4 linked regions of the Struthio camelus genome follow. The protein of the gene in region 3 purifies or fractionates together with the protein of the main gene of each other region. This does not show direct contact. Links are inferred from orthologs where the notes say so. Each region holds a gene or a part of one and is shown on either strand. Other genes may lie near its edges.

Region 1 (6,836 bases), on a different chromosome or scaffold from region 3:
ACAGCCAGGTCCCCATGAGGACCCCATGGCCTCGTGCCAGGTCTCCATGAGGACGTCACAGCTGGGTCCCCGCGAGGACCCCACGGCCCCGTGCCAGGTCCCCACGAGGACGTCACAGCTGGGTCCCCGGGAGGACCCCACGGCCCCATGCCAGGTCCCCGCAAGGACGTCACAGCCGGATCCCCGCAAGGACCCAACGGCCCTGTGCCGGGTCCCCGTGAGGACATCACAGCTGGATCCCCATGAGGACCCCCATGACGCTGTGCCAGGTCCCCATGAGGACATCACAGCTGGATCCCCGCGAGGACCCAATGGCCCTGTGCCAGGTCCCTGTGAGGACATCACAGCCAGATCCCCGCGAGGACCCAATGGCCCTGTGCCGGGTCCCCGTGAGGACATCACAGCCGGGTCCCCATGAGGACCCCATGACCCTGTGCCAGATCCCCGCGAAGACGCCACGGCCCCGCGCCGGGTCCCCATGAGGACATCACGGCCGGGTTCCCATGAGGACCCCATGACCCTGTGCCAGGTCCCCACGAGGACGTCACAGTCAGATCCCCGCGAGGACCCAATGGCCCTGTGCCAGGTCCCCGTGAGGACATCACAGCTGGATCCCCGCGAGGACCCAATGGCCCTGTGCCAGGTCCCCGTGAGGACATCACAGCCGGATCCCCATGAGGACCCAACAGCCCCGTGCCAGGTCCCCGCGAAGACGCCACGGCCCCGCGCCGGGTCCCCGTGAGGACATCACGGCCGGGTTCCCATGAGGACCCCATGACCCTGTGCCAGGTCCCCGCGCGGACATCACAGCCGGGTGCCCGCGAGGACCAATGGCCCTGTTCCAGGTCCCCGTGAGGACATCACAGCCGGATCCCCATGAGGACCCAACAGCCCCGAGCCAGGTCCCCGCGCGGACGTCACAGCCGAGTGCCCGCGAGGACCAATGGCCCTGTGCCGGGTCCCCACGAGGACCCTAGAGCCCCACGCCAGGTCCCCATGAGGACAACGTAGCCAGATCCCCGCGAGGACATCACAGCTGGATCCCCGCGAGGACCCCGCGCGGACGTCGCAGGCGGGGGCCCGCCGCTGCCGCACGCACCCGCTCCGAGGTGCTCATGCTGTCGATGCCGCCGCACTCCTCCTCGGCGAAGAACTGCGAGGCCACGCTCATGCGGGCGTTGGGGCCGTCGGCGCTCGAGCCCGCCATGGCGCCGCGGCCTCCTCGCTGCCGGGCGAGCGGGCGTCAGCACCGCTCCCCCGCCAGCCATACTGCCCCCCTCGCCAGCCATACGTGACCCCTTTTCCCTCCCCGCAGTGGCACCCTGACCCCCCCCGCAGTGAACCCCCCCGAGGCACACAGGGCCCCTCTGCCAGCTTCACTGTGCACCCCCTGGCCCCTATAGGCACCCTAGGTTTAACCCCCAGTACCCCTTATCCTATAGGGTCTCCCCCACTCCCTACAGCCCAGGCACACAAGGCCCCCCCCACCAGCCCCCTACACAGCTCAAGGGCACCCTATATGCCTCTCCCTTATTACTGCCAATCCAGGCCCTTACACAGCACCTCTCCGCACCTATCCTGGTCCCTATAGAGTCCTGGGACACCCTATATGCCTCTCCCTTATTACTGCCAATTCAGACCCTTACACAGCACCTCTCCACACCTATCCTGGTCCCTATAGAGTCCTGGGACACCCTATATGCCTCCTCCCTATTACTGCCAATCCAGGCCCCTACACAGCACCTCTCCGCACCTATCCTGGTCCCTATAGAGGGCCCTGCCACCACATACCCCCTCCAACACTCACGCTCTATATTTCAGCACGCTCCTGGTCCCTAAATAGCCTCCTGTCTCCCCCCTACCCAAGCCCAGGACCCTATAGAGCACCATGCCTCTGTAGTGTCTATAGACTCTTACACGGTTTCCTTCCCCCTATAGAGCCCGTTTCCCACACAGCTCCTGGCCATACGGGGCCTCCCACCCTCACACACTGCCCAGGATCCTATAGAGCCTCTTGCCCACGTACTCCTGCCCCTATAGAGCTTCCTGCTTCCCCATACTTCACCCCATTGTGCTTCCCCCAGACCCTATAGAGCCCTATTTCCCACACACCCCTTTTCCCTACAAACCTTCCCACCCCCACACGCTGCCCAGGGCCCTATAGAGCCTCTTGCCCACATATCCCCACCCCTGTAGGCACCTGCAGCTCCTCCAGCCCCTTATAGGGCCTTCAGCTCTTTTTACCAATCCCCCAGGCCCCTATAGAGCCCCACTCCCCACACACATCCTGTCCCTACAGACCCTCCTGCCCCCAAACACTGACCAGCACCCTATAGAGATGCCTCCCCTACACTCCCTCACTCCTATAGGGCCCCATTTCTCAAGCATCCCACGTCCATATAGAGTCCCCAGCCCCCCACACGCTGCCCAGGGCCATATAGAGCCTCTTCCCCACCTGCCCTCACCCCTATAGGAGCCTATAGGTGCCCCAGGCCTATTGAGCCTCCACCCCTGCCTACAGGGCATCATCTCCCACGCATTCCATGCCCACATAGTGCCTCCAGCCTCCACACAAGGCCCAGGGCCCTATGGAGCCCCTCCCACAAATACCACCATCCCTATAGGGGCCCATATAGGTCTCCCGCAGCCCTATAGGGCCTCCACCCCCCTACAGAGCCCCATCTCCCATACATTCCTCGGCCCGGCCGACGCCCCTGCCCTCCCCCACGGCCCTATAGATCCCTCCCCGCCATACCCACACCCCTATAGGAGCCTATAGCCCCCCCGCCACAGCCCTATAGGGCCTCCACCCCGCTAGCGAGCCCCGGCTCCCACTCACCCCGTAGCCCCACGGAGCCTCCCGCTCCCATACATTGCCCAAGGCCCGACCCACCTCCCCCCCCTCCCGACGCCCCTATGGGCCCCTATAGGGCCCCTATAGGCGCCCCCAGCCCCCCTCACCGCCGCCCGCGCGCTCGGCGGCCTCGGCGCGCTCCGCGCACGCGCCGTGACGTCAGGCGGCGGCGCCAGGGGCGCGCTGCCCGCTGGGAGCTGTAGGCCGGGAGGCGTGGTCTGGGGAGGCCACGCCCCCTCCCCCGCTCCGCTTCCGCCGCCCGCCGTGGTGGGGGGGGGGAGGGGGAGGGGGCGCCGCGCGCACGCGCGGGAGGGGCGGGGGTGCGCGTGCAGGTGGGGCGCATGCGCGTGGGGGGGCGCCGTGCGCGTGGGACACGGGGATCCCGCGTGGGTGTGCGGACACGGGGGGTGCGCGTGGGTGTGCGGACACCGGGCTCCCGCGTGGGTGTGCGAACGCGAAGACGGGGGGTCCCGTGCACGTGGGTGTGCAAGCACCGGGATCCCACGTGCACATCGCTGTGCACCCCCCCCCACCCTGGATCCGCCACCAGTGTCACGAGTGTGTCAGGTCTCAGTCAGAGGGGAACAACCTCCCCCCCCCAGCTCCTCCACCAGTGCCACGAGTGTGCCAGGTCTCAGTCAGAGGGGACCTCCCCCCCCACGCACACACACACAGCCCCGGCTCCTCCACTGGTGCCACGAGTGTGCCAGGTCTCAGCCAAGGGGAACAACCCCCCCCTCCAAGCTCCTCCACTGGTGCCACGAGTGTGCCAGGTCTCTGCCCCCCCTGCCCTGGCTCCTCCACCAGTGCCACGAGTGGGCCAGGTCTCTGCCCCCCTGCCCTGGCTCCTCCACCAGTGCCACGAGTGGGCCAGGTCTCAGGTCTCAGTCAGAGGGGAACAACCCCCCCCCCAGCTCCACCACCAGTGCCACAAGTGTGCCAGGTCTCAGGTCTCAGTCAGGGGGGAACAACCCCCCCCCCAAGCTCCACCACCAGTGCCACAAGTGTGCCAGGTCTCAGGTCTCAGTCAGGGGGGAACAACCCCCCCCCCAGCTCCACCACCTGTGCCACAAGTGTGCCAGGTCTCAGGTCTCAGTCAGGGGGGAACAACCCCCCCCCAGCTCCGCCACCAGTGCCACGAGTGTGCCAGGTCTCAGGTCTCAGTCAGGGGGGAACAACCCCCCCCCCCAGCTCCACCACCAGTGCCACAAGTGTGCCAGGTCTCAGGTCTCAGTCAGAGGGGAACAACCCCCCCCCCAGCTCCACCACCAGTGCCACAAGTGTGCCAGGTCTCAGGTCTCAGTCAGAGGGGAACAACCCCCCCCCCCAAGCTCCGCCACCTGTGCCACGAGTCTGCTGGGTCTCAGCCAGGGAACCCCCCCCACACCGCCACCACCCCGGGGTGCCCTGCGGGAAAGGGTGCTGCCTCGGATGCCTAGGTCCTCCCTTGGGTGGGGGGGGGTGGGGGCAGCCCGGACGCCTGGGCTCCCTGCAGAGTGGAGCGACCCCCACCCACCACCCCCAAAACGGGCAGCTCCGGAGGCCACGTTGGCACCCGGAGCCGCCCGGACGCCTGGGTCCCTTGGCTGGGCCCCCCGCGCCCTGTGGGGGGGGGGGTCACCCCGAGGCCTGGCTGCCCTGCGTGGGGGGGGGGGGGCCTGCTGGGAAACTTCGTCAGCAGCAGCTCATAAACAAGGCCCCGCGGCCCCCGCTGCCGGCCAGCGCCCCCCCCCCGCGCCCGCCGGGCCACGTGGCACCCCGGGGTGCTGCTTCCCCTCCGCCCGGACGCCTGGGCCCCTTCCCCGGGGGGGGGCAGGTGGTTCTCCCCTATATTGGGGTGCTGGGGGGGGGTCCGAGTGCAGGGTGCACGGTGCTGCACGTCCCCCCCCCAGCATCCACTGCCCCCCTCCCACCCGGACGCCTGGGCCCCTTCATAGCGGGTGCATTAGGGGGGTGCCCACATGCTGCACCCCCTAATTTTGGGGTGTGTGGGGGGGTCCGAGGGCAGGGTGCATGGTGCTGCACGACCCCCCCCAGCACCCACTGCCCCCCACCCCTCCAGGACGCCTGGGCCCCTTCATAGCGGGTGCATTAGGGGGGTGCCCACATGCTGCACCCCCTAATTTTGGGGTGTGTGGGGGGGTCCGAGGGCAGGGTGCATGGTGCTGCACGACCCCCCCCAGCACCCACTGCCCCCCACCCCTCCAGGACGCCTGGGCCCCTTCATAGTGGGTGCATTAGGGGGTGCCCGCAGGCTGCACCCCCTAATTTTGGGGTGCTGGGGGGGAAGCACCCAGGGCGGCCGGTGCCCCCCCCCCAGCACCCACGGGGCGGCAGAGCCTGGCGCCGGGCACAGGCAGGGCTTTATGCCGCCACCGGCGCCGTGGGCCCCGTGCCCGCGCCGCGCACAAAGGGCCGAGTGTTGGGGGCGGCGGGGGGCCGGCGGCGGGGTGCGGGGACACGCGTGTGCGTCGGGGCGTGCGGGGACACGCGTGTGCGTCGGGGGTGCAGGGACACACGTGTGCATCGGGGCGTGCGGGGACACGCGTGTGCGTCGGGGGTGCAGGGACACGCGTGTGCATCGGGGCGTGCGGGGACAGGGACACGTGTGTGCGTCGGGGTGCAGGGACACGTGTGTGCATCGGGGCGTGCGGGGACACGCGTGTGCAGCAGGGGTGCGGGGACACGCGTGTGCATCGGGGCGTGCGGGGACACGCGTGTGCAGCAGGGGTGCGGGGACACGTGTGTGGGTCGGGGTGCAGGGACACACGTGTGCGTCGGGGGTGCGGGGACACGCGTATGCATCAGAGGTGGTGGGGACATGTGTGTGTGCGTCGGGGCGTGCAGGGACACGCGTGTGCATCAGGGGTGCGGGGACACGCGTGTGCATCGGGGCGTGCGGGGACACGCGTGTGCATCAGGGGTGCGGGGACACGCGTGTGCAGCGGGGGGGTGCAGGGACACGCGTGTGCATCAGGGGTGCGGGGACACGCGTGTGCATCGGGGCGTGCGGGGACACGCGTGTGCATCAGGGGTGCGGGGACACGCGTGTGCATCGGGGCGTGCGGGGACACGCGTGTGCATCAGAGGGGGTGGGGACATGTGTGTGTGCGTCGGGGCGTGCAGGGACACGCGTGTGCATCGGGGTGCAGGGACACGTGTGTGCGTCGGGGGTGCGGGGACACGCGTGTGCATCAGAGGGGGTGGGGACATGTGTGTGTGCATCGGGGCGTGCAGGGACACGCGTGTGCATCAGGGGTGCGGGGACACGCGTGTGCGTCAGGGGGGTGCGGGGACACGCGTGTGCAGCGGGGGGGTGCGGGGACACGCGTGTGCAGCGGGGGGGTGCGGGGACACGCGTGTGCATCGGGGCGTGCGGGGACATGTGTGTGTGTCGGGGTGCAGGGACACGCGTGTGCAGCGGGGGGGGTGCGGGGACACACGTGTGCAGCGGGGGGGGGCTGCCACCCTGGGGTGCCCCACGTCCCTATCCCCCCCACCCCGTGGCCCCAACGTCCCTGCGTGGCCGTGCACGGCCCCCTCCATCCCCCCCCCAGCGCGTGTCCCCCACCCATGGGTGCCAGCCCAGCCCGGGGCCACGGGTGACACCGGGTGCAGGGAGGAGGCGGCTGCGGGGGCCGATATTAAAAAGCTCTTTAATCCCCGGGGGGGGGGGTGGAGGAAGGGCACGAGGAAGAGGAGGGTGACACGTGTGCGGGGTGACACCCAGGGCCACCCTGGCACCCCCAAACCCTCCCCCCCCCACAGTCTAGGGTGGCGGAGGCTCAGTCTGCCCTGGCCCACTCGGGGGCCCCAGGTCCATCTTGGAGACCCCTGGGTGCCACCGTCAGGCTCAGGGCGCCCGGGTCCACCTCGGGGAGCCCTCTGGGTGCCACCGGCAGGCTCAGGGCGCCCGGGTCCACCTCGGGGAGCCCTCTGGGTGCCACCGGCAGGCTCAGGGCGCCCGGGTCCACCTCGGGGA
Region 2 (6,821 bases), on a different chromosome or scaffold from region 3:
GGCTTCCGTCTTCCTCTATCTTAAATGGTAGCATGGGCGTTCCCTTTCATTCATTCTTTCTTCTCTTTCTTCCTATTTACAAGCTATGCAGAACCAGTCCCAGTCTACATACTGAAGGATAAAACACATTGCTTCACTGGTTCTTACAGTGGCATTTTCTGGTCTCAAGATGACGGCCTGGCCTGCTAACACACATGAACGCTGGAAGCAGACAAGCAACGTATCCAGCAGCGGCAGTTGGGTGTTCAGCCTTGGGAGAGGCAGTCGTATTTCACTGCCAGTTGACCACAGTCTCATCAGCAAAACTATTAAAAACAGCTAACAGATTTAAAATAAGTATATAGCAAACATTTAGTTCCTGTTTGCTCATCAGTACAAGATTTGGCTCAGAAGCATCTCCATTTAAGAACCACAAAAGAAATCCTTCAAAGCCTCAGCTCTATCAAAAGCCAGCTTCATTTTATTAGAGAATACAAATCCTACTGTAATGTTTTACTTTTTCCATAACTTTTTTCCCCCTACACAATGTAATCACATCTGGACACTAGCTTTCCACCACAGCAGCATTTGGTAGCTTCTAGCTTTCTAGCCATCTAGCTTTTCCATCTACTGTCCTACTACAGAGAATTGTCCTGCAGCAACTGCAGAACCAGTTTCTCCACGGACTTTTAAAATAATCAGAGGGTTTGTTCATTCAGAAGTTTTAGGCTTTTTTCAGGATGGTTTAGCATTAACGTTTTCAGCCTTTCTTCTGCAGCATCAACATCAGTTGATGTTTTGCAAGAGCTAAGTAAGCTAAGAACAGATGAGAAGACTGGAAATAGCTTTTATTACCCTTCTGTTGCCACTGATACCTTATGTCAATCCCCCTCGATCAAAAATAAAGACGGCAAAGAAAAATTTACATCCTGTAACAGCAAAACGATGGCATGAGAAAAACATTAGTCGATTCTACATTATGCACATGCTTATATCATGATGCCATAAGAAGACACGGCTCAGAAAAATCTAAGCTATGTTTACTTCAACTGCCGAAGCTTAAGCCCTGTAACATGCAACTGCATGAAAAGCAAACAAAGAAATCCAGCATGCAGCTCTGGTATTATTAGCCACATCAGCAGTCACCGCCTGCTACAGCCACTCCAGAACATGCCTCTGACAAGGAGTTTTACAAAGGCCACAGCCAATTGAAAAACCATCACTCTGCCACTTTTCTTCCCTTTTCACTTCCAGATTTAATGAGCACCTAATTTCTGTACACAGCAGCGGTTATTTTCATGCCCTGCCCTGAAGTAGCATGGAGGAAACCAAAACAAACAAACTTTACCAACTACTAAAGGAGAATAACTCTCCTCTTATATACTGAGGCCAAAGTGCTGTCTTGGCTTCAACCACAGACGGGCAGAGAACGCACTCAGAAAATATGCTATTAGCAACTTAGTAATTGGGAAATTCAGCTAGGTTCATGATTACCATGGAACTGGTGAACTACAAGAGTAAAACCAGAAGGAGCCTCGAATTTCTCCTTTTCCATATAACCTTTTAAAACGATGAAGCGATGCACTTGGGATACCAGTATAGAGCCAAGAGGACACAGAAAAGAAGTTCAGGAATCTCCCCTGAAACCAGGACTTATTTCCTCCTCTCCCCACCTCCCTCCCCCATCCAAATCCGAGCAGGGAGAGAGGTTTAGCATCCCACATCCAAATCTCCTTGTCCGAGGCTGGCAAAGGAGCTGCAGTTAAAAAACAAGGTCAATGAAGTCATTTTAATTGCATCACACAGGAAAACCCATTCTGTCAATTCCAACTTTATGACCAATTTCTAATAGCAAACGTAATTGAAAACTTATTAACCACAGCATATTGTGCCTACGCTGGCCAAACGGTTATGTCACGCACGTCAGTTAAAAATAAGGTTAAGCGAGAGAGAGACATTTTCATTCCAGGTGTTTCAAATCCAGAAGACAGCCACGAGCTCTACCTCCCAAAATGCTCTGCATTCAGATACCTGCTGCAATCACGGAGGCTTTCAGCTAAGTTAAACAGACCTGCAAACAGGCCTTTTGACAAGACTTTTCTTTAAAGTAAAGTCCTAGTCATTTCTGAACTTTTTTTTAAAAAAAAAAAAAGAGGAAGACTGGTATTTTGCAGTGCATTTCAGCTGAGAAGTCAGGTCTTCAAAATCAATAAATTAATTGTAATTATTGTGATTTCAATCCAGACAAATGCTACAGAGGCAAACAATCTGTGTGCGTGCTTCACGCCAGCTCCCAGTGTTTTTAAGCCGAGCAGCTGGGGAAGAGGAACTTTCCACTAAAACAGTTAAATTCTCAAAAACAAAACAAAACAAAACAAAACCAAACCCCCCAAAACAACAAAAAAAGCCCCCAAACCCCTGCAAGGAGCCAGGGCCAAAGCTCCGCAAGGCAGAGCACCTGCCAGCAGTTCTTTACAGCAGATTTCCTCCTCAGCACCCCAGAGCCCAAGGGGGGACCCCAGACCCCTCGCCAGCCCCCCCGCAGGGCCTGAGCCAGCGCTCCCCGTTACCCAAACGGGCCGCGCACCGGCAGGCCGCCCTCCCGCCCCACCGCGCCCCCGGGGCCGCGCCGAGGCCAAGCCGCAGGCGGCGGGAGCAGGAGGCAGCCCACGCCCGGGGCCAGGCGCTCGCTCACGGCCGGTAACTACGGCCTGGCGCGAGCAGCGCGGCCCCGGGCAGAGCCCCAGGCATCCGCCCTCCCCAACCCCCACGAGAAAGGAGGCAGCTCGTGGAGCGCCGTCGTTCCGCTTCAGAGTGAACAGCGGCGCCGCGGTTGCAGGCAGCGGCCCCGCTCCCCCCGGCCCCCCCCGCCGCCGCCGCCGCCGCCGCCGCCTACCGAGTACATGGGCGCCCATCGCCGCGCCCGCCCAGCCGCCGCCGCCATGGTGCTGCGAGCGCTGCCGTCGCGCCCCCCGCCCGCCCTACCGCGTCGCCGCGGCCTCACAACTGCCGCTGCGGCCGCCGCCCGCGGCGCCCATGGCCCCCCGCGTCCCTCCGCGCCCGCCGCCACCGCCGGGGCGGGGCCGGGGGCGGCGCCATCCCGGGCGCGACGGGAGCCGCGCGCGACCAAACTTCCTTCCGCCCGGCGTGCCGGCCATGGCGTCGGGGGAGCGGTGCCGCCGGCTGGCGGCCGTGCTCGGCGCCCTCTACGACCTGGGTGGGTGAGCGGGGCGCCGCGGGGCTCCTTGGGGGCGGGGAGGGGAGGGGAGGGGAGGGGAGGGGAGGGGAGGGGACGCCGCCCTGCGGCGGTGGCTTTCTGTGTAAACTGGGGCTGCCCCCACCGCCGGGGCCGGGCCGTTCACTCTGAAGCGGAGCGACGGCGGGCGGGCGGGCGGGTGACGCGCTGTGTGCTCCGACGCGCAGGTGACGAGAGCGGCCCGGAGGAGGCGCAGGCGAGCGGCGCGGCGGAGCCGGCCGTGCCCGAAGGCGGCGGCCGGGCGGGCAGGAGGCAGCGGGGCGGCGGCGCCCGCGGCTTCTTCAGGGAGCTGCGGGCCGAGCTGCGCGGCGCCGAGCCCGGCGGCGGCGGCGGTGCCCCCCCGCGGCCGCCCGCGGCGCCGGCGCTGGAGGTGGTCGTGTTCCGCGGGAGGAAGAGGAGGGCGCGGCCGCCCCCCGGCGGCGCCCAGGTAGGGTCCGGCTGCGCGGGGCTGGGAGAGGGGGGCCCGGAGCCGTCGGTGAGGCGTGCGGGGGTATCGGCGGGTTGGACCCTTTGGGAGCCCTTTGCGGAGGGACCAAGCAGCGGGTTGAGTCCTTTTCCCGGCAGATGGCCCTCTTTTCTCTCAGGGCTCAGAGCTGTTTGGTTTCCTAGCTCCTGTAGCAAGCGGCTGTGGAGCCCGCGCTGGGTTTTTCCCACTTTTTGGTTTTTTTCCCTCTCTTTCCCTAGGGTACAAGCTAGGCCCCCTGGGAAGTTCCTCCCCAACCTGAGAACTGCTGATGGAAGGTCTCCACAGAAATTGCTCAGCAGAAAAGACCTTTTCACTGATGTCGTTTCGCACGTTTAACGCTGGGTGCCGGCTATTTTGTTGGGCCTGCCCTTTGTTGGCAGTGCTTCCTTTGGAGCCTTTTCTGTTGCGTTAATTAAGTAGGATGCGTGCCTTAATGTATTTGTATACAGTTATGGAATAACTGTTGTTCTATATGTTACTGCCAACTGTCAGTACATACACTAGTACCTCTGCTCTGCGTGAAACAAAATGACTTTAAGTTCATGTCCTGCCCTGCAATAGCAGTTTTGGTACAGGTTTAGAAATGGCAAATGTAAGATGCATAGCTCACATGCAATAGTTCTTATACAAAGTGTAATTTAAACCTGAAGTTTCAAAAACTAATTGCAGCTATTAATTTGATTATACTGTATCTTTCTCAGTTATAAAACTCTTTGTGTTAGCAAATGACCTAAGCAAGAAAACGCTGAGCAAAGCTCTGTGCTTTAATGGTACCCTGTGTATTGTGCAGGGTTGTTCCAATAAGACCCTACAATAGCTACGTATTAAGAATGCCATTGAGACCTTCTTGTTTTTAATAAATCAAGGTCATAAAGATGGGAAAAGATCCTGCTGGAAAGCTGTGTTCTCTTCCCTACTACCCATTTTAGCGTTTCACTACTTTTTGAAAAACGATCATAATAAGCATTTACATTGGGGTTGCTTGTTATATTAAATGGAAACGTTTTGTTTTGTTTATAGATCAGAAAAGTGGCTGAAGAAAAAAACGTGAACAAACACGAATTTAACTTTGAAAAAGTAAGTCACCAGAATCTAATCTCAACGCTTTAGTGTGCAGGTGGCTGTATTTATGTGCTTGGGAAAGCTACAGCGGGACCAAAGAGAAACAATTCCAGAAAAGGTTATCTTTCGCAGGTGAGGATTTCCTAATACATAAGTTTGGCTGCATGCCGTTCTGGAGGAGTGTGCTGGCTGTTGGGAACAGCTCTTTACGAACAGAGGCATGTTACAGCTCTGTGGCCTTTATTTCTGATTTTTCAGTGATAATTTGAGGAGGATCATTGTGTGTTAGGTGTGTAAAGTGTGTAAAGCTATGTGGGTACCCATAATATATAGCGAATGCTGATTTAGGCCCATGATGTTAATTTTGGTATTTCTGATCTCGCATGGCGGGGGGAGAAGCGTATTGGTATATATTTTTCAAAGAGCAGTTGGTTTTTATTTTTTCATTTGTCTTTTGGTTCGAAGTTGTTCTTATAGAACTCACGTTAGGCTTCTTAGATAGTGAATTGGTTTCAAATTTGTGCGGGTTATTTTATATGCCTGACCCCTGCTCAGGAAAGTGATGTGATCCAGTGAAATCTGGTGACTGGGTGTGGCGTTCTCTGCTGCTGAAAACAGTGGGGATTTAATCGCTACCTTGGAAAAGGTTACGAATTCACCACCGATTCTGCCAAGGTCTTCCTGTGTATTGTGAACGAGACATCCTGTGTAGTCAAACCACTTCAGCATCTGCACGTCCAGGCTTCTCACTGGTGAAGTGCTCTGTGGTCAAGTAATGAGAACGCTCTGTAAACGTTGGGTGTTGTTGGTAGCGTGTTTTATTGTTGTTCTCTGTGCAGCACTATGATTCATTTTAATACAGAATAGGTCTTTTCCACGTGTTCAGTTTTATGTGAAATAAGGAGAGTCAAATATTGTCACCCAGACATCCTCACTGTCCAGAGATGAGACAGTGGTTAACCGTTTGGCAGTATAGGTCTAAACTCAGTGAGTTTTATTTTGTACTTTCAGGTACTATCTGAGGCTTCTTTGGGGGTACAAATTTGTTTCAGTCTGTCAAGCGTTGTTTCACGCAGGTTGGACAATTATAAAATGCTTTCAGTTTTCTGTAATGTTTTAGGCTCGTTTGGAAGTGCACAAGTTTGGAATCAGTGGCTATGAGAAGCAGGAGCAACGCATGTGGGAACAGGAACGTGCTATCATGCTGGGAGCCAAGGTAATTGTTGCTTGTTTTGTGGCAGGAGATGACCCAGCTGTTTTGATACAGACAAGTAGTAAAAAACCACAGTGGGCGTTTGGCCCTAGTTTTTTAAAAAGATGAGCTCTCCTTCCTTGCCCCTTCTGTGACCTCGTCCTTATTTTTCCTGTTTCGGCCCTATTTTCTGTTCAGTCTCACCTGTTTTCTGTAGAAATCTGGAAAACTAGTACGTTTGTGTTATCAGAGATGTTGCTTAGGTGAAATAAGACAGATTGGGATGAAAATCGACATTTATTTATTTTTATTCAGACCATCCAAACCTAAACGACTGGAGGAGGGGCTTTCTTGTTAAGCTTTCTAAAGCTTCACCTTCCCCAGCAAGTTAAGGACAGAGAAAGGTTTTCAGTTTTATTTACCGTCAGTAGTGTAAAGAAGACAACAGAGTAGAAAACGTGTTTTTTTTTTTTGAGATGGGTTTTTTTTAAGGGCTCTGTGTATAGGAAACCTTATAGGCCTGTTACCCCCATCAAAATGCCCCCAACTCTATTGCCCCCATCAAAAAAAGACATGGTTTCAGTGTGATCTACCTTATATCCCTCTAGTCACTTCCATTCCCCCTAAAGGGAAAAAAATGGGTTTTTTTTCCTTTTTTTTTCTGGAGGGCAGGAGTTGTTTGTTGCTTGGTTGGTTTTTTTTTTAACCCTCTGTGAAAAATAATTTCCGTGCAGGCATGTGTATATTTGATGAACCTATTTGAACATTTCACCAGTGATACCACTCCTGATCTTTATTGCAGCCCCCCAAAAAAGAACATGTGAACTACAAGACTTACCAAGAGAAAATGAAAGAGAAGAAAACAA
Region 3 (7,353 bases):
AAGCCTTTGGTCTCAGTCTGTAGGGCAACAGTCTGTAGGGCTATAATGCTTTGGATGGTGGAGTACTAGGTTAGATCACTTCACACTGGTTTGCTAATCCAAATGTTACTTCTGGAAAATGGCTGAACTTAAAAACACAAAAACCCCCAATCATGTAGCTGCTTATTGGTCATCTGTCTCTTGAAGTCCAGCATTCTCTCTGGGCAGTTGTAGAGACTTGTCTCTATTTTACTGTGCCTTTTGAGGGTGTCTCTTACCTGAGCTTTAGCTCACCCTTATTTTGTAGGGGTGTTATTGTTCTGAGATCCTCTAATGGTAACAGAGTTGTGTTGGTCATTGAAGTCCTGCTTTTGGCGAGTGTGTAACAATGCTCTATTTTTGCTGAAGTAAACATAATAGCGGACTGTAAGGATTTTCCTTACCTCTCAGCTGTGTTTAACATTAGACTTCCATCTAGAGAGCAGACTTCTTGAGAGATGTTCCTTTTAAACTGCACTGTTAAAACTCTTTGCAGCTTGCAGCAGAGAACAATTGCCTAAGTTGTAGAGGCCCAAGTCTGTAGGTAGGTGCATGCTTGGACTCTGCTCTCAGATCATGAGAGGACAAAGTATTCCGACTTCCTGAACTGACTGAAAGCACTTGCCTTTGACTTGGTTATTTAGTGATTGCCTGGTTATATGAAACTTGAGAGAGAGTAGGCTTTATAGCTATTAGTGGAAATGGCAATAAGTGTCAGAGCTTCATATATCCCCTTCCTACGCTGAGAAACAAAGGTCATGCCATGGATGAGTGTACCCTGCAGGAAGACACAGGTTTCTGCCAGGTTTAACTGCACTGAGATCTGTCTGTGCTTGTTGGGTGCTGCGAGTGCCATGAGAGCTCCTCCCTCTGCTCAGTGGGGAGAGGTTGTTTTTAGTTTGAAGGTGACTCTAGAGAGTGTTATCTGGTCATGTCTGTCTTTGCCACTGTCCAGCTTGATCGAATACTGCCCGGTCCCCAGGAGAATTGCTCAGCTCTGTGATTGGCTCTGTTCTGTGAGGAATGCCTGGCTTTTGTGAGCTGATTTCAATTTCCAGCCCAACACCATTTGAAATCGTTTGAATGCCTCTGATCAATTCCAGTGGGTTGATGCTGGCTGTACTGGTATGTCCTAGGACTCAGCAGGTGCTTTCCCCAGCCTTGAGCGTCCGAGACTTCGATTAGTCTGCTTTGTGTTGGAAAAGCAGAGAGGGGATATTAATCCCATGTGAAAAGGGAATGATACTTGTTATTTTTATCATTTGAATTCAAGGGTGCCTAGAGAGGCTCAGCAGATCCACATTACTATCTGAGCTGTGCATGAAGTGCCTTCTAATTTGGAGCAAGTAACTTTGAAATATCTTATCAGTGCACTATAATCAGCTTGTATCTGTAAAGGAAACCTTGATCACTAGCAGCTCCCACTTTAAATCAGGCTTCAGTTAAAATGGGACTGATTTTTACAAATACTGTAGTCAATTCTGTGACTTTCAACATTAGGTGATTGGGAGGGTTAAATCACAGGCTTGTGATTTAAAAACTAAACTGGCATGCAAAATTGTCAGGAAACTCACCCACCAAAATACAGCACAGCTTATCCCACACCAGTATGAGTTTAACCTTGGTGGGCTGTTTAACTTTTTTCTAGCTGCTTAACAGGATTCAACTTCTAATATGTTCTAGAAGTGAAGCTCAGTGTGTGAGGAAGTTGCGATTAATACTTCCATATTTCTTTTAGAACCCCTAGTGACCTTTTTAAAAAAAAAAAATCAGGAAGATCATTCTAGTGTATCTAGTCAAATTCTGTAATACAGAGTCAGTTTGAGGCTTTAAAAACCTCTGCCAATATATTACTGAATGGTGCATTTGTGAATGTAACAGTTGATACTGTTGTTAGTACGTGAAATGGCACCAGACTTCTTTTTTAGCCACTGAGTTATTCTCAAACAGACCTCTGCTTCAAAATATCTCAGTTTTAATTATCAGCCTTCTCTTAAAACTGTCTTGGTCTCAGGTGAGAGTCAGCTCTCTCCTCCCTTGTCCAAACCTGTCTGTTCTTTCAGACTTCTAAAGCTTCAGAGTGTAAGGCTAAATTTTCCTTTGAGAAATGTTTAAACAGTGGAAATTATTTATGTAGGCCTCTGAAAATTACCTAGCAAACGTCTCTGTTTTGCTTGGATTTGAGCAAACTTGGTTTTATAATGCTGATTTATTCCCACGCTTGCAAAAAAAGATTTTTTTTATTAAAATGTCTTTGGGCATTCAAAAACAAAGAAATCCCCCAACCCACCTCTCTTAAGCCTGTATGACATGATACGTGTGTGGAGGGCATCTATATAATCAGAGCTTTCTTAATACTTATTACTGAGTAAGTTAACTTCTTGGAATGACTCTTGGTATGGTAGATACTTGGCAGGTCTACTGTTGGTGTCTGAGTAGTGCAGTCTGAAATCAGTGTACAGGAAGTGCATGTTGCAAAGTTAAGTAGCTCTGCTTAAATCTTGCTGAAATTGAGTCACATAAGTAACCTTGACGCAAATATGATGTCTTTTCCTGAAATGCTGTTGCTAGAGACTTCCTTCCTGCCCCCCCGGGGGGAGGGGGGAGAAAGCCCTGCTTGGGCCTTCTCCTCCCATCTGTCTTGTAATGATTTGGACAATCTTACATCTGGGAGCTGCTGCTCGTAGTTGATAGTGCTGCATCTGGCTAATAGCCCTAAAAATGGTTGGCAGCTCTGCTTTCTGCAGTGCACTGACTTATGGCTTTACCTTTGAACTGTCTGTTTTCAGAAGTTGAACCCTCTGGACTCTGAGCACAAGAGCAATTTGAAAAATACTGTAGTTTTAGCCTGTAGCTGTCTCTCATGTTTTTTTAATCTGTGTTATTAATTTAGCTTGCCTGGGATGAAGAAAGTATAATTTCGTTGTTTGTATTACAACGAATATTACAGATTTCTTAACCTGGCTTGTGACATCTTGCAGACTGCAAGATGCTCTCAGAAATTGCAGCTGTCTTGAATATTGTATTTAGAAGTATCTGACTTGCATCTTAGTGAGCAGGATGACTAAGCAAGCATGTGCGAACGTGAAGGAGAACAGATCTTGCAGTGCAATGAAGGCTGGCAGATGAGGCAGGCAAATGGTACCATAAGTGTAACAATGCCCAACATCATCTAGTCACCACGTAGTGACAGGATGAGTGCCAGGCTCTGGCCAGGTCTCAAATGAGATCAACTGACTTTGGGCGCGTAAAGCTCAGGGAGGGACTGACATGCCCCTCTCTGCGGGCGAGTGGGGAGCTATGTCTCTGTAGTGTGAACGTTTGTATGCACAAAATGTTCTGACCTTCAGTGTGTCAGAGTAGGGAGGCCAGTGTAGGATTGCTAGTTCACCAGGCTTGTGTGGCTGCTTTCTTTGTGTCCTTTTTACAGTGGAACGCATACTAGATGATGCTGTCTTGCTGCTGCCAGCCTTTTACTGCAATATGCAACAGAGATTTTGGCAGACCTGTGGACCTCCTTTTCAGAATATAGCAGATACTAAAATTTTGGGGGGACAGGAGAGACTGGATAAGCTGTTGGAACAAAAATCCATTGAAGTTTACATCCTGAGCTGAAAATGCTTGGAGACAGGGAGGAGTGTGAAAGAAGTATTGCAGGCGTGTCTAGCTCGTCGCCTCTGGAATCTGGGTACTAGGCTAGAGAGATACTTGGTCCGACCCAGTGTGAGCATCATGTTTGTAATGCAGACTGTGACAGAAAGGATGCAATTCAGTGACTGCTGGTTAAGTAGCTGATAACTAACATCACAATGGAATTCAATCAGTATTGCAAATAGGCTCTCTGTATTCCCAGACAGAGACCATTGAGCAGAACTTAACCAAGGTAATGAGGTAACAATGATCAGGGCTGGTAACTTTGAGCTTGAAACTTAATTCTGTGGCTGGAGTAGTTATCAAACTTCCACTGACGCAGCTACAGCCCACTGAATGCAATTCTTGAATATCTGGAACGTTATCATTGTTCTTTCTCTTCCTGCCTCGTATTTCTCTGCTCATGCAGCTAGTGTTTGTAAGTGTGGCTGTTCTGCAAGCTCTGGTTTTGCATCAGAGTGGCGAAAAGTGTTGTTGGCTGTAGACACGGCATGGGGCAGTTGACTGTGTAGCTGGAGATAGCTTATGGATTGTAGAGGGGAGGGAGCTGGGAGAGTATGCTACTCTGAAGAGTTATGTTCCATCTTCTCAGTGGCTGAAATTTTTTCCTTGTAGAGGTTGAATTCTTGCTTTGCACTAACACTTTGCACTAATACCTCTTCAACTCATAGCTGGTTTTGTAAAGTCACCGCTGTCTCAAAAGAGACTGACTCAGGACAGCGTCGAATTGTACTGCGAGGCAATTGGCAATCCTATTCCTGAGATCCAGTGGTGGTTTGAGGGAAGCGAACCAAATGAGACCTATGCTCAGCTTTGGGATGGTGCACGGCAGGACCGTGTCAAAATCAACGCCACCTACAACCTGCACTCTACCAGTACCATCTACATCGCAAACCTCTCAATCGACGATTCGGGCATGTACGAGTGCCGGGCTAGCAACGACCCTGACCGCAACCACTTGTCGAAGAGCCCCAAAGTCAAGTGGATCCGTTCCCAGGCTAACGTTTTTGTCATCGAACGTGAGTGGCCATACTGAGGCCTTGGCACTTGCTCGGACACTGATGTCTTGAGTCTCTTGCCATGCTCACCCCTGCACCTGTGTCCTGTGACTTCCTGAAAGTTCCCTTCACCTTCCCATCCTGGCTGTAGAACTGAGACTCCTACCCTCCTGTGATCTCCCTCACCACCTGTGACTTGATCCGAAGTGGCCCTGCTCAAAAAGGGTTGTGACTTCCCAACCAAAACACCATGCAGCAATCCTATACCTTTTCCAGAGCCCAAGACAGTAGAACATACTGCTTAAGTGCCTCCGTGTCCTAGTGCCGGCTTGCAGAATTAAGAATTTTGATTCTGCTGGTAGACTCTGCCTTAACCACCACTGACAAACCAGCCCTGCCCTACAGCTCATTACAGCTTCTGCTCCTGTGAACGTCTTGCTTTAAGCTCGCTTTCTTGCTAGTGTTACAAGCTGTGGGGATCAAAATCTGCTTTTAGTTTCTTGTGAAGCAACCATTTTTGAAATGGCCGTGTCTGTGTGTGACACTGAATGTGATTAAGTTGCTTGTACTGTGGAAGTGACCAGACTCCCTCTACTTGCAGAGCTGAAAGTTGAACTCTTGAGCTAAGAGGCTGCTTCTTTCCCAATAATAGAAACCTGAACTAGTTTGAGGGAATTTAACATCCTGCTAAGATCCTGTCGTGAATCCTGAAGTTAATGGAGCAAAATTACTAACATTTTCCTCAGCTTAAATGTACTAGGAAATACAAAGTTCCAGCAGATTTTTCTTCCGGGGGAATTTGTTGGGTAGGAGGAGAAACAAAATGCCTTTCAGCCCTGTGTAAAAATTATTCCTTCCAAAAAAGTGCAAATGGGTGGGAGGGTAGGAAACCTAAAGTGTCACAGGGCTGTATAATGGCTCTACTAATGACAGCTATTTTCTTGGACTTACCTCTTACAAGTAGAAGTGTCTGAGTAATCTTATGTTGCATAATGGAGATCTAGGACCTTTTGGAATCATGGCTACATAGGTTCTCATTGGAATAAATATAGCTATAAATTCTTGAGCTGTATCAGGTGGTGTGCATATTGCTTGCATACTGTCATATTTGTTGCTCCTGACGAAAGTGTCTTGACTGCTGTCCTCAATTATGCTACCTGGAGATGTTCAGATCTGCTCAAATTCTGGAAGGTGCTAACATGCAGCGAGTGCTAAAATGGTTCATGAAACCCTTCAGTGTGACCTTTTTCATTGCTTATTTGAGCACTTAGCTCCATTGCAATATATGAACTGCACCCATTGTAGAGATAGCAGGAGGCTCAAAACTGTTGAGTGCATGGCAGTGATCCTGACCGTGGTGGTAGCAGCTGTAGGGTCAGTATCCTATTGTTGCTAAGTGCCATCAGGCCCTAGTCATCGGGCTTTCAACTCTGTCCTGTGCTGGTATCATCAGTCCTGGTAGGAATCTGATTTAAGAAGGTAAGTAGAAAGCTATGGTGGAGACAAGGAGCTGTATTTTTTGGGAAATATTTGCCTTAAAGGTTCTTGGGGAGGTGTATAACCTCTGGAATAGCACATGTTAACTTCAGCTGAATTTACAAATGCAGGTCCAAACATCGTAACTCTCGTAACTGTCAATTCTGGCAAACTGGTCCTCTCCTGTAACATGACTACGCCTTACGCTTCCATTGAGGGCCATGAGTGGATGAGAGGAGACAAGATACTTCAAACGGACACGGAATCGAATGCTTTCACCAGTTACACGTAAGTGTCGGGGGCAAGGCCAGATAAGAATATGTCTGTACGCAAGGGACAGTTATTTTACCAGAAACGGCTAATGTTTCATATCAGTTGAACCTAAACCGAAGGACTGTCACATACAGTCTTGCATAAAATATAAACTTTGGAACTTCAGAACATGAGCAAAATAAAGGTTTGCTAAGGCCCAGCATTTCCTTTTTGGGGAGGAGGGGGCAGAAAGGAGGAAGAAGGGAAAGTGAATAGGCCACCATGCCCTCTTAATAAATTGAAAAGTACTGCTACTTAAAGTTTTCCTGCCCATGTTCTGCCGGGCTAGGTGAGTTTCTATTGGATTCAGCAGCACCAGGTAGGTGCCAGGTGGCTAGGGCTGCCTGCTTGGCTGGCCTGCTGTCTGGAGAACATGAGCACTTGGCTTTCTGCAGCATTGACATCAGTGCAGTGAGATGTTTTCCCAGAGCTTTAAGGATCTGTGGCTCTGGAAAGGAAATGAGCTCTCTGCTCCCCCAGAGGCCATGTGTGGAACAGGAGAAATGTTATCTGTACAGTTGGCTTTTATGTATGTACCTCAAGTATACTTTCAAAGTCTAGCCTGTCCCTGTAGAACAAGCTGAGTAGTTGCCTGCAAGTTACAGTTGGAAACTGTTTCCAGGCTGTAGCTGAGCAGAAACTGGAATACCAACCTTATTGTAACAGTGCAGTGAGCTTTCCACTTTGATTACAGTCAGGCCTGGCTGGCACTGGCCCAGCAGCTGGAGAGGCATCATGTCCTTTTGTGTGGCTGTGCCGACGTGCCTCTCTCCCCATAGCAACAGGGAGCTGAACAAGGATTAAAGTATTTATAACCCAGCCTCCCTCGCGTGACCTCAATTCCTTAGCTGAGTGGTTTTTGGGAGTGGGAAGCTCCATGCACAGCAGAGCTAACAAA
Region 4 (7,798 bases), on a different chromosome or scaffold from region 3:
CGGAGCTGCTCAGCGCCGGGCTCCGCGCGGCCCCAGCCCCTCGCGACCCCCCGGGGGCTCCTGCGGCGGGGAGTTTCCCGGACGGCGCAGGCGCTGCCCAGCCGGCAAACTCCGCTCGTGGCCTAGCGGGGAGCGTGCAGGGCGCCGCGGGTGGAGCGAGGCGCGGGCTCCGCTCCCAGGCGGCCGCTTCCCCAGCGCCTCGGGGCGCGTGGGGGGGAACTCCCGTCTGCAGCTCCACCCTGCTTCTTTCTGCTGCAAAACAATGGCAGAGCCCGAGGCTCGCCCCCGTCCTGTCCCTCCCGCTCTTACTCACCCTGCCCGAGGGCCGGTGCCCCGCTACGGCCCTGCTCTGCCTCTCCGGGAGCCGCTGCCAGCGCCAGCGAGGCCTCGTGGCAGCAGGTCCCAGCTGCTCGCGCACCGGCGCGGGGCTGCGCCTTGCTGCACGCTAACGGCGAGGGTGCACGGCGCGCTGCAGGAGCCGGGGCGGGCTGGGCGCACCTCGACGGCTGCGAGCCAGCACGGGGAATTCCCTCTAGCACCATCTCCTGCCATTCCAAAAAAAAAAAAAGAAAAGCACCCAGAAAAGCACCCTTTGCCCTCTCCAGCCACTACTTGCAGCGCTTGCACCACCTCCCCAGGGCCAGAAACTCCTTTCCCCCCCTCCGGGAGGGAGCCAACGCTTTCCAGAGGTCCCTCCAGCCTCCTCGGGAGGAGCCGCTCCCAGCGCGGCACCCGCAACCCCGGGCGGCGCGGCGTGGCTCTGCAGCGGGCTCTCGGCTACCCGCGCGCTGCCGCGGCCGGGCGCTGCCTCGCTCCGCTCAGGCGGCGGGAACGCAGCCAGCACGGGCGCTTCCTCCGTCGCGCCTCGACACCGGCACGGTTGGCCGGGCACTGGGCAGGGAGAAGAAACAGAAATGAAAAAACAAACAAGAACAACAACAACAGCAAAAATCTTACACCCAAGCACACAGTCCACTGCTTTGAACGGGCTTTGGGGAACCGAAGGGCACGCAGCGTTCGGGAGGCCTCCAGGACCACCCAACTCTTCCCGTTCATTCACCCAGAGCGCGCTCGGTGCTCCGTTCCCCGGGGCGGCCGGGCCAGGTGGCCCTGCCAGCGCCAGTCCCACGCCACCGCCACCGGTGGGGACGGCTGGGCTTCCCCGGGGACCGGGGCGGCCAGGACGGGAGGAGCGCGGGGGGCGTCAGCTCCTCTCGCTCGTGGCTAAATAATTCAGGTGCATCTCAGTTTGCTCAAGGAAGCAAAAGATTGAGGGCACCGGCGGGAGCCAGGCAGAGGCAAGGGCGGCGCGCCGGAGCGGGTGGGCCCCCTCGGGGACGCGGGGCCCCTCGTCGGTCGGCAGCCCCGAGGGCCGCTGGCTTCCGCCCCGTCCCGTCCCGTCCCGCCAGGCAGGAACAGGCTGCGCTGCTTTGAGCTCGGCAACCCGACCCCCACCCTCCCCCCCACCCGACCTCAGCTCTCCAGAGATAAGAGGACAATAACCTATTGTCCCTCCCTCCCCCTTTCAAGCTCCAGGCTTACCTCCGGCCGCACAGGGAGGGACCACCCTGCGCCCAGGGTCTGCGCGGCCCCCTCGGGCGCAGGGGGGCCGAGGTGGGACCCCCCGCCCCCAGCCCGGGCACCCAGGTCCCCCCGGGCGGATTCAAAGCAGATGCTCGACGGGGCGCAGCGCTGCCGACCGGCCTAGGGCGCGGGCAGCGGCCAAGGGCCCCCGTCCGCTAGCCGTGTGCGCCAGCGCTTCGTTGCTTTTTGGGGTTTTTTTTTTTTGGGGGGGGGGGGGGTTGGTTTCTTCTCCCCCCCCCCCCCCGCTGTGCATTTGCCCGGGCAGATTGGTGCAGGCAGCAGGGGGGACGCGCCTGGCGCGGTGCGGCGCGGTGCGGTGCCCGGGCGCTGCGCTCCCAGCGCGACCGACGGCCGGATCCGGCTCCCCCGCCCCGCCGGGGCCGGCAGCCTCCCTGCGCTCCAGGCGGGCGCCTGCCCCCCTAGGGAAACGCAAGAGCCAACCTTGCAAACACCTTTCCTCCCCCAGCCTGTCCTTGGGCTGCCGCAAGTAACTCCCCCTCCTCCACACTCGCACACGCACCCCCCCCCCGTCGCAGCGCCTGCCCTTCCCTTCGGTGCCCAGCTGCAGCTCCGGGCAGCGGCACGACGGCAGCGCGGAGACGGCGCCCGAGCCGCAGCGCTCGCCTCCCGCCTCCGCGGCCAGGCCAGGCCAGGCAGCGCTGCCCCCCCGACAGCGCCGAGCACGGCTAGCTCCTCGGCGCCGCGTCCCCCGAGGGCGGGCCGCAAGTCGCAGGTCCCCTGCGGCGGCGAGGATGCAACGCCCCCAGCGCGACCCTCACCGCTGCCTCCCACCTGCTGCTGCTGCTGCCGGATGCGCCCGGCGCCGGCACCGCTGCAGACTGCGCCCTCGGGCACGTCTCCGCCCGCCTTCCCCGTGCCCCCCAACCCAGCCGGCTGAGGAGGTGGGGGGGGGGGGGGTCGCATCCCACCTGCAGCACGCCGCTGCTCGCACACGCCTCCCTGCCAGCGGCTGAACCCCGCCGCAGCGCAGCGCAGCGCAGCGCAGCCTCGCCCCGGCGCGCCCTGCAGCGCCCCGGCTGCCCTCCCCGTCTGCGCACTGGGCCGCGGCCAGCCGGGGCACCCCGCCACCCGCTCGCCCCCGCAGCGCCCCGACGGCTAGCCCCTGCCCCGCGGGAGAGCGGCTGACACGGCGGGGAGCCGCCCGGGCACCTCTGCCCCGGGGTTGGGGTGGGGGGGGGGGAAGCCCCGGGACTCGCCCGCTCCCGGCGGGGCGGCCCGGGTCGGGGCAGCGCCTCCCCCCCCCCCTTGCACCGCCCCGCACTCACCGGCGCGGCGCCGCGGCCCGGCTGGCGGCGGAGCCCCCGCGGGCGGCCATGGGGCGGCGGAGGAAGAGGAGGAGGAGGGCGGCGGCAGCTCCGGCGCTAGCGGGAGAAACTGCTTGTCATGGCAACCCGCGCCGAGCCGGGCCGGGCCGGGCCGGGCCGGGGCGGGTCCCCGCCGCCGGGGGCGGGACTCTCTTAAGGTGGCGGCTCGCCCCGCCGGCCGTTAAGGGGGACGGGACGGGACGGTGCATGCACCGCCAAGTGCTGCGGGTTCCCCCCAGGTCAGTGCAGGGCATGCACCCCCCCGGCGGTATCGACCCCTCGGGTTAGTGCCGTGCATGCACCCCCGAGCAGCATGCACCCCACCAAGGCAGTGCGGTGCATGCACATCCCCAAGCACTACTGAGCCCTGTTGACCCCTCCCCCAGGTCAGTGCAGGGCATGCACCCCCCAAACAGCATGCACCCCACCAAGGTAGTGTGGTGCATGCACCCCCAAGCACTATTGACCCCCCCCAGATCAGTGCAGGACATGCACCCCCAAGCGGCATGCACCCCACCAAGGTAGTGTGGTGCATGCACATCCCCAAGCACTATTGACCCCCCTCCCCCAGATCAGTGCAGGGCATGCACCCCCGAGCAGTATGCACCACCAAACAGCATGCACCCCACCAAGGTAGTGTAGTGCATGCACCCCCAAGCACTATTGACCCCCCCCAGATCAGTGCAGGGCATGCACCCCTGAGCAGTATGCACCACCAAACAGCATGCACCCCACCAAGGTAGTGTAGTGCATGCACCCCCAAGCACTATTGACCCCTCCCAGATCAGTGCAGGGCATGCACCCCCGAGCAGTATGCACCACCAAACAGCATGCACCCCACCAAGGTAGTGTAGTGCATGCACCCCCAAGCACTATTGACCCCCCCCAGATCAGTGCAGGGCATGCACCCCTGAGCAGTATGCACCACCAAACAGCATGCACCCCACCAAGGTAGTGTAGTGCATGCACCCCCAAGCACTATTGACCCCTCCCAGATCAGTGCAGGGCATGCACCCCCGAGCAGTATGCACCACCAAACAGCATGCACCCCACCAAGGTAGTGTAGTGCATGCACCCCCAAGCACTATTGACCCCCCCCAGATCAGTGCAGGGCATGCACCCCTGAGCAGTATGCACCACCAAACAGCATGCACCCCACCAAGGTAGTGTAGTGCATGCACATCCCCAAGCACTATTGACCCCCCTCCCCCAGATCAGTGCAGGGCATGCACCCCCGAGCAGTATGCACCACCAAACAGCATGCACCCCACCAAGGTAGTGTAGTGCATGCACCCCCAAGCACTATTGACCCCCCCCCAGATCAGTGCAGGGCATGCACCCCCGAGCAGTATGCACCACCAAACAGCATGCACCCCACCAAGGTAGTGTAGTGCATGCACCCCCAAGCACTATTGACCCCTCCCAGATCAGTGCAGGGCATGCACCCCCGAGCAGCATGCACCCCACCAAGGCAGTGTGGTGCATGCACACCCCCAAGCACTATTGACCCCTCATGTCATTGCAGGGCATGCACACCTGAGCAGTGGCACGTACCCCACCAAGGTAGTGTGCTTCATGCACCCCCAAGGTGATAAGGGTACCCCCCCTCCAGGCAGTGCTGGGCATGCACCCTCAGGTGGTGCAGGCCCCGCAGGGCAGTGCGGACACCCCCAGCCTGTGTGGGACCCTTCCCAATGCACTGCAGTGCCTGCACCCTGGGTGGGGTGGGGAGGTGGGACCCTCCCCAAGGCAGCAAGGTGCATGCACCCCTGAGCAGCGTGGACCCCCCCGGGCCAGTGGGGGTACCCAAGCAGGGTCGGTGCACTCCTGTACAGGACCCTCCTCGCTCCAGCTGATCGCCTCTAGAGCACCCAAAGTCGACGCACGGCAAAGTCGGGGTGCCTCCTCGTGGGTGCTGGGGTTTGCCCGTGCGGAGCCAGCAAGTGCCCAGGGGGGTGTCAGCGGCCCTGCAAAGCACGAGGCAGAGCTCTTGGGCACCCCTTGGGTGACTGTGTCATTTGAGGGGGCAGGGGGTATGTGCATTTTTTGAGTTGCACAGGATTGGAGCATAAATAACCACCCTTTCACGCAGGCCAACCCGACCACCCCCACATTTTTTAGAAGCATATGAAATGCTGCAGTCAGACTGAAAGCTGCACTATTGCACGGGTGCAACAAGACTGGTGCAACATTTGGGTGTTGGCAACCTTAAATTAGGGTTAATCCTGTTTCTATCCCTACGTTTGGGCTTGCAACCTGGTTCAAGTTAAACCAGTGTAACATCTGTGCACGCACAAGCCCTAATTAGTGTTTGTAACGTTTTTTTTTTTCCCCTCCTCGAGGGCCTGCACCTCCATTACTTTGCATTCCTGCGCCGGCCCGGGGGGGCCGCAGAAGACGACTTCCTCGCACAGGAGCACCGGGAGAGCCAAGGCCCTGCCGCCCAGCACCCAGCAAACGCTTCCAGGCCCTTTTGCAGGAATTCCTCCGCCTGCTAATCGAAAGGCGCTGGTAAGAACGCGTCCGTTCGGCTTTCAGCGAGGTGGCTCCGTCTGGCTCGGAGAGCTGATGGTGGCGGTGCAAAGCCCCGCTGTGGACCCTCGCGGGGATTTCTCCCTCCCTGCACCGAGGCGCCTGCAGGGCCGCTGAGCGTGGCGTATCCCACGCATCCTGCCTGGTTGTTTTTCCTGTTGCTTGGCAAAGAGGGACTCTGGTGCTGGGTGCACGGCTGGGCGCTGCTCTGAGCCGCTGCTGGAAGCTGAAGCAAACCTGTGCTAGTTATCTGGAGTCGACTAAAAGTCGTCAGAGCTGCCAGCGCAACTCTTAATTAAAGCATCTCTTTCCTTTCAATAGTTTGCAACACAGAGGGTATCAGCCTGCTCGTGCTCTCTGCAGGGGGGTGCAGGCAGGGGGCTGAGCACTGCCTCCCCTCCCGCTGCAAAGCCAAAAGCGGGAACAAACAGGCCGGTTTCAGGCGGCGTCCTGCTCCCCCACCCCCCAAATAAAAGGCGGCTTGCAGAGACCACCGTTTGTCTGGGTGACTGGAGAAGGCTCGAAAAATACAGGGAGGAACAGACGGCAGACGGCATTTCCAATGGTCTGGGATGCAAAAAGGGCTATTGAGGCATAATAGCCTTTTAAAACAGCTTTTCTGAGCTTGGAAGGAATCTCTGACCATCTGGATTTGGACTCCTGAAAGGAAATAAGGCCTCCTGCCTGAGGGAACCTGTTGTTAACAGAGGGCAGTTCGCATTTGCAGAAATGTCGAGAATTTGCAGCCTCCTTGGGCTTCAGCTGAAATTGGGAAAGGCAGATCTTCCCAGCCTGGGTGCTCCGCGCTTCTCACTGAAGGAAGCGGCCAAAAAGCCGCTTCGAAATGTGCTTCCCATCCAGTGGCAGCCTGCAATTACAGTCCTAGTACTTAGCAGCTCCTGCCCGCCGTGTTTCCATTACGTCTGGAGCAGCCATAAACAGTCGGTCTAAAAGCCCCTTCCATGTCACACGTAAGGAAAAGCGCACGGAGGAAAGTCAACATCCGCAGCGGAGCGGGAGCCGCGCGGGCAGGGCGAGCGGCTGCGGCGGTTTGCGGATGCTCAGCCGCGCTCGCAGCGCGCCGCCGCCGCGTCCCGGAGGGCCGACCCGCAGGCGCGCGCCGCCCGGGCAAGGCCGGCAGGGCAGGGGACGCTGGGCTCCCGCGGGCAGGTCTCCGCAGGGCTGCTCCGCTGCTTCGTGCTTGTGCCTTTGGCCCCCTCGCTAGCCTCGGACCCTGGCTGGGTATTCGGTTTGTTCCCTTTTCTCCCGCTCCGGCTCCGGCCCCGTGCGTGGAGCTGGGAGCCGGCCGCAGGGAGCGCCGCGCGTTTCCTGCCCGGAGCTTCGGCCAGCAGCGTAAAAAAATACCCCCGAAAGGGGAAAGATCGGTCAACCAGACCAAGATCGGTCTTCTTTAAGAACTGGGCTTAACCGATGATTTCCCTTTAAGAAGAGTACCAAACTTCATCATGATTTGTCTTTAACGTCTCCCAGGCTGGGAACTTGTCGGTGGAGTTTTAGCCCAAAATGAATTGGATCAGCCAAGTTGTTATCAGTCACGTTATGAACCCATTCAAAACCCAGGGCCAGATCCGGATCTCATCTCCGCCGGTACAGACCCAGCGTCGCTCCGCGGGAGTCAACGGAGAAGCTTTTTGCACCGTGCCGGAGAGCCGAGGGCAGAATCGGACCCCCCCAGGGTTTACAACGGAGACACTGGACTGACTGCGGAGCCCAAGGCAGAGCCGGGCGCCTGCAAAACCTCTCTCCGTTCAGGGCTAAAACCAGGGAGAGCGCGCGCGGGCGAGCGAGCAACTCCGCTTGCTGCGTGCAGGCTGCTGCCGCAGGAGCCGCACGGGTCCCCGGGGGCGCCGCCGGCCCCGCGCGGCGCGGGACGGGCGCGAGGAGGCCCCGGGGCGGCCGGCCTCCGGGCGATGCTGCTGGAGCAGCGCGAGCCTGCTGCCACGGACTTTTTCCTGCCTCTTCTTCTTCCCTTTCGCTCCCGGGGCCCAGCCCCAGGTTTCGCTGCCGTTTCGGCGGCGTCCCAGGCGCCCGCCGAGCTGCCGTGCCGTTTGCGAGGCCCAGGCTGGAGGCCAGAGCGAGGAAGGCTCGCGGGCTGCCGGCGGGATACAGCCCGTCCGTGCGCCGTTTCCCACCTCCGCCTCCCGTCCGGCTTGTCCCGCTGGGGGCTCGGCTGTCCCCTGGCTCCGGGGCAGCTCCCCGGCGCCTTGCCGCCCGGAGCCGTCCCGCTGTGCCATTGCTAAAGACACCTCTCCTGCACCTGGAGCGTTTCCGCTACCAAGTACTGTAACGACGCTGCTCGTTTCTAATTAAGCCGCTACTTCATTATGGGCGGGAAG

What was found.
Region 1: the proteins of BSG (region 3) and SYMPK purify together in Homo sapiens (co-immunoprecipitation; 3 studies listed by BioGRID and IntAct, counting the BioPlex papers as one, with this or other methods). This does not show direct contact. The link is inferred for Struthio camelus from reciprocal best matches to the Homo sapiens genes BSG and SYMPK.
Region 2: the proteins of BSG (region 3) and GNPAT purify together in Homo sapiens (affinity purification with mass spectrometry; 3 studies listed by BioGRID and IntAct, counting the BioPlex papers as one, with this or other methods). This does not show direct contact. The link is inferred for Struthio camelus from reciprocal best matches to the Homo sapiens genes BSG and GNPAT.
Region 4: the proteins of BSG (region 3) and ATP2B4 purify together in Homo sapiens (affinity purification with mass spectrometry; 3 studies listed by BioGRID and IntAct, counting the BioPlex papers as one, with this or other methods). This does not show direct contact. The link is inferred for Struthio camelus from reciprocal best matches to the Homo sapiens genes BSG and ATP2B4.

Annotation. Positions count from the first base shown.
Region 1 is NC_090957.1:1,740,731-1,747,566, reverse strand, and holds the start of SYMPK (symplekin), read right to left. Parts: upstream 3,010-6,836; 5' UTR 2,962-3,009; intron 1,226-2,961; 5' UTR 1,208-1,225; coding exon 1,100-1,207; intron 1-1,099. UniProt on the Homo sapiens protein: Scaffold protein that functions as a component of a multimolecular complex involved in histone mRNA 3'-end processing. Specific component of the tight junction (TJ) plaque, but might not be an exclusively junctional component. May have a house-keeping rule.
Region 2 is NC_090944.1:92,212,951-92,219,771, reverse strand, and holds the start of GNPAT (dihydroxyacetone phosphate acyltransferase), read right to left. Parts: upstream 3,008-6,821; 5' UTR 2,924-3,007; coding exon 2,876-2,923; intron 1-2,875. Other genes in the region: FSAF1 (uncharacterized protein C1orf131 homolog), read left to right, coding at 3,136-3,196, 3,403-3,662, 4,722-4,778, 5,884-5,979, 6,758-6,821. UniProt on the Homo sapiens protein: Dihydroxyacetonephosphate acyltransferase catalyzing the first step in the biosynthesis of plasmalogens, a subset of phospholipids that differ from other glycerolipids by having an alkyl chain attached through a vinyl ether linkage at the sn-1 position of the glycerol backbone, and which unique physical properties have an impact on various aspects of cell signaling and membrane biology.
Region 3 is NC_090967.1:7,635,586-7,642,938, reverse strand, and holds the start of BSG (basigin), read left to right. Parts: upstream 1-4,346; 5' UTR 4,347-4,585; coding exon 4,586-4,688; intron 4,689-6,274; coding exon 6,275-6,431; intron 6,432-7,353.
Region 4 is NC_090965.1:6,585,816-6,593,613, reverse strand, and holds the start of ATP2B4 (plasma membrane calcium-transporting ATPase 4), read right to left. Parts: upstream 3,018-7,798; 5' UTR 2,871-3,017; intron 1-2,870. UniProt on the Homo sapiens protein: Calcium/calmodulin-regulated and magnesium-dependent enzyme that catalyzes the hydrolysis of ATP coupled with the transport of calcium out of the cell. By regulating sperm cell calcium homeostasis, may play a role in sperm motility.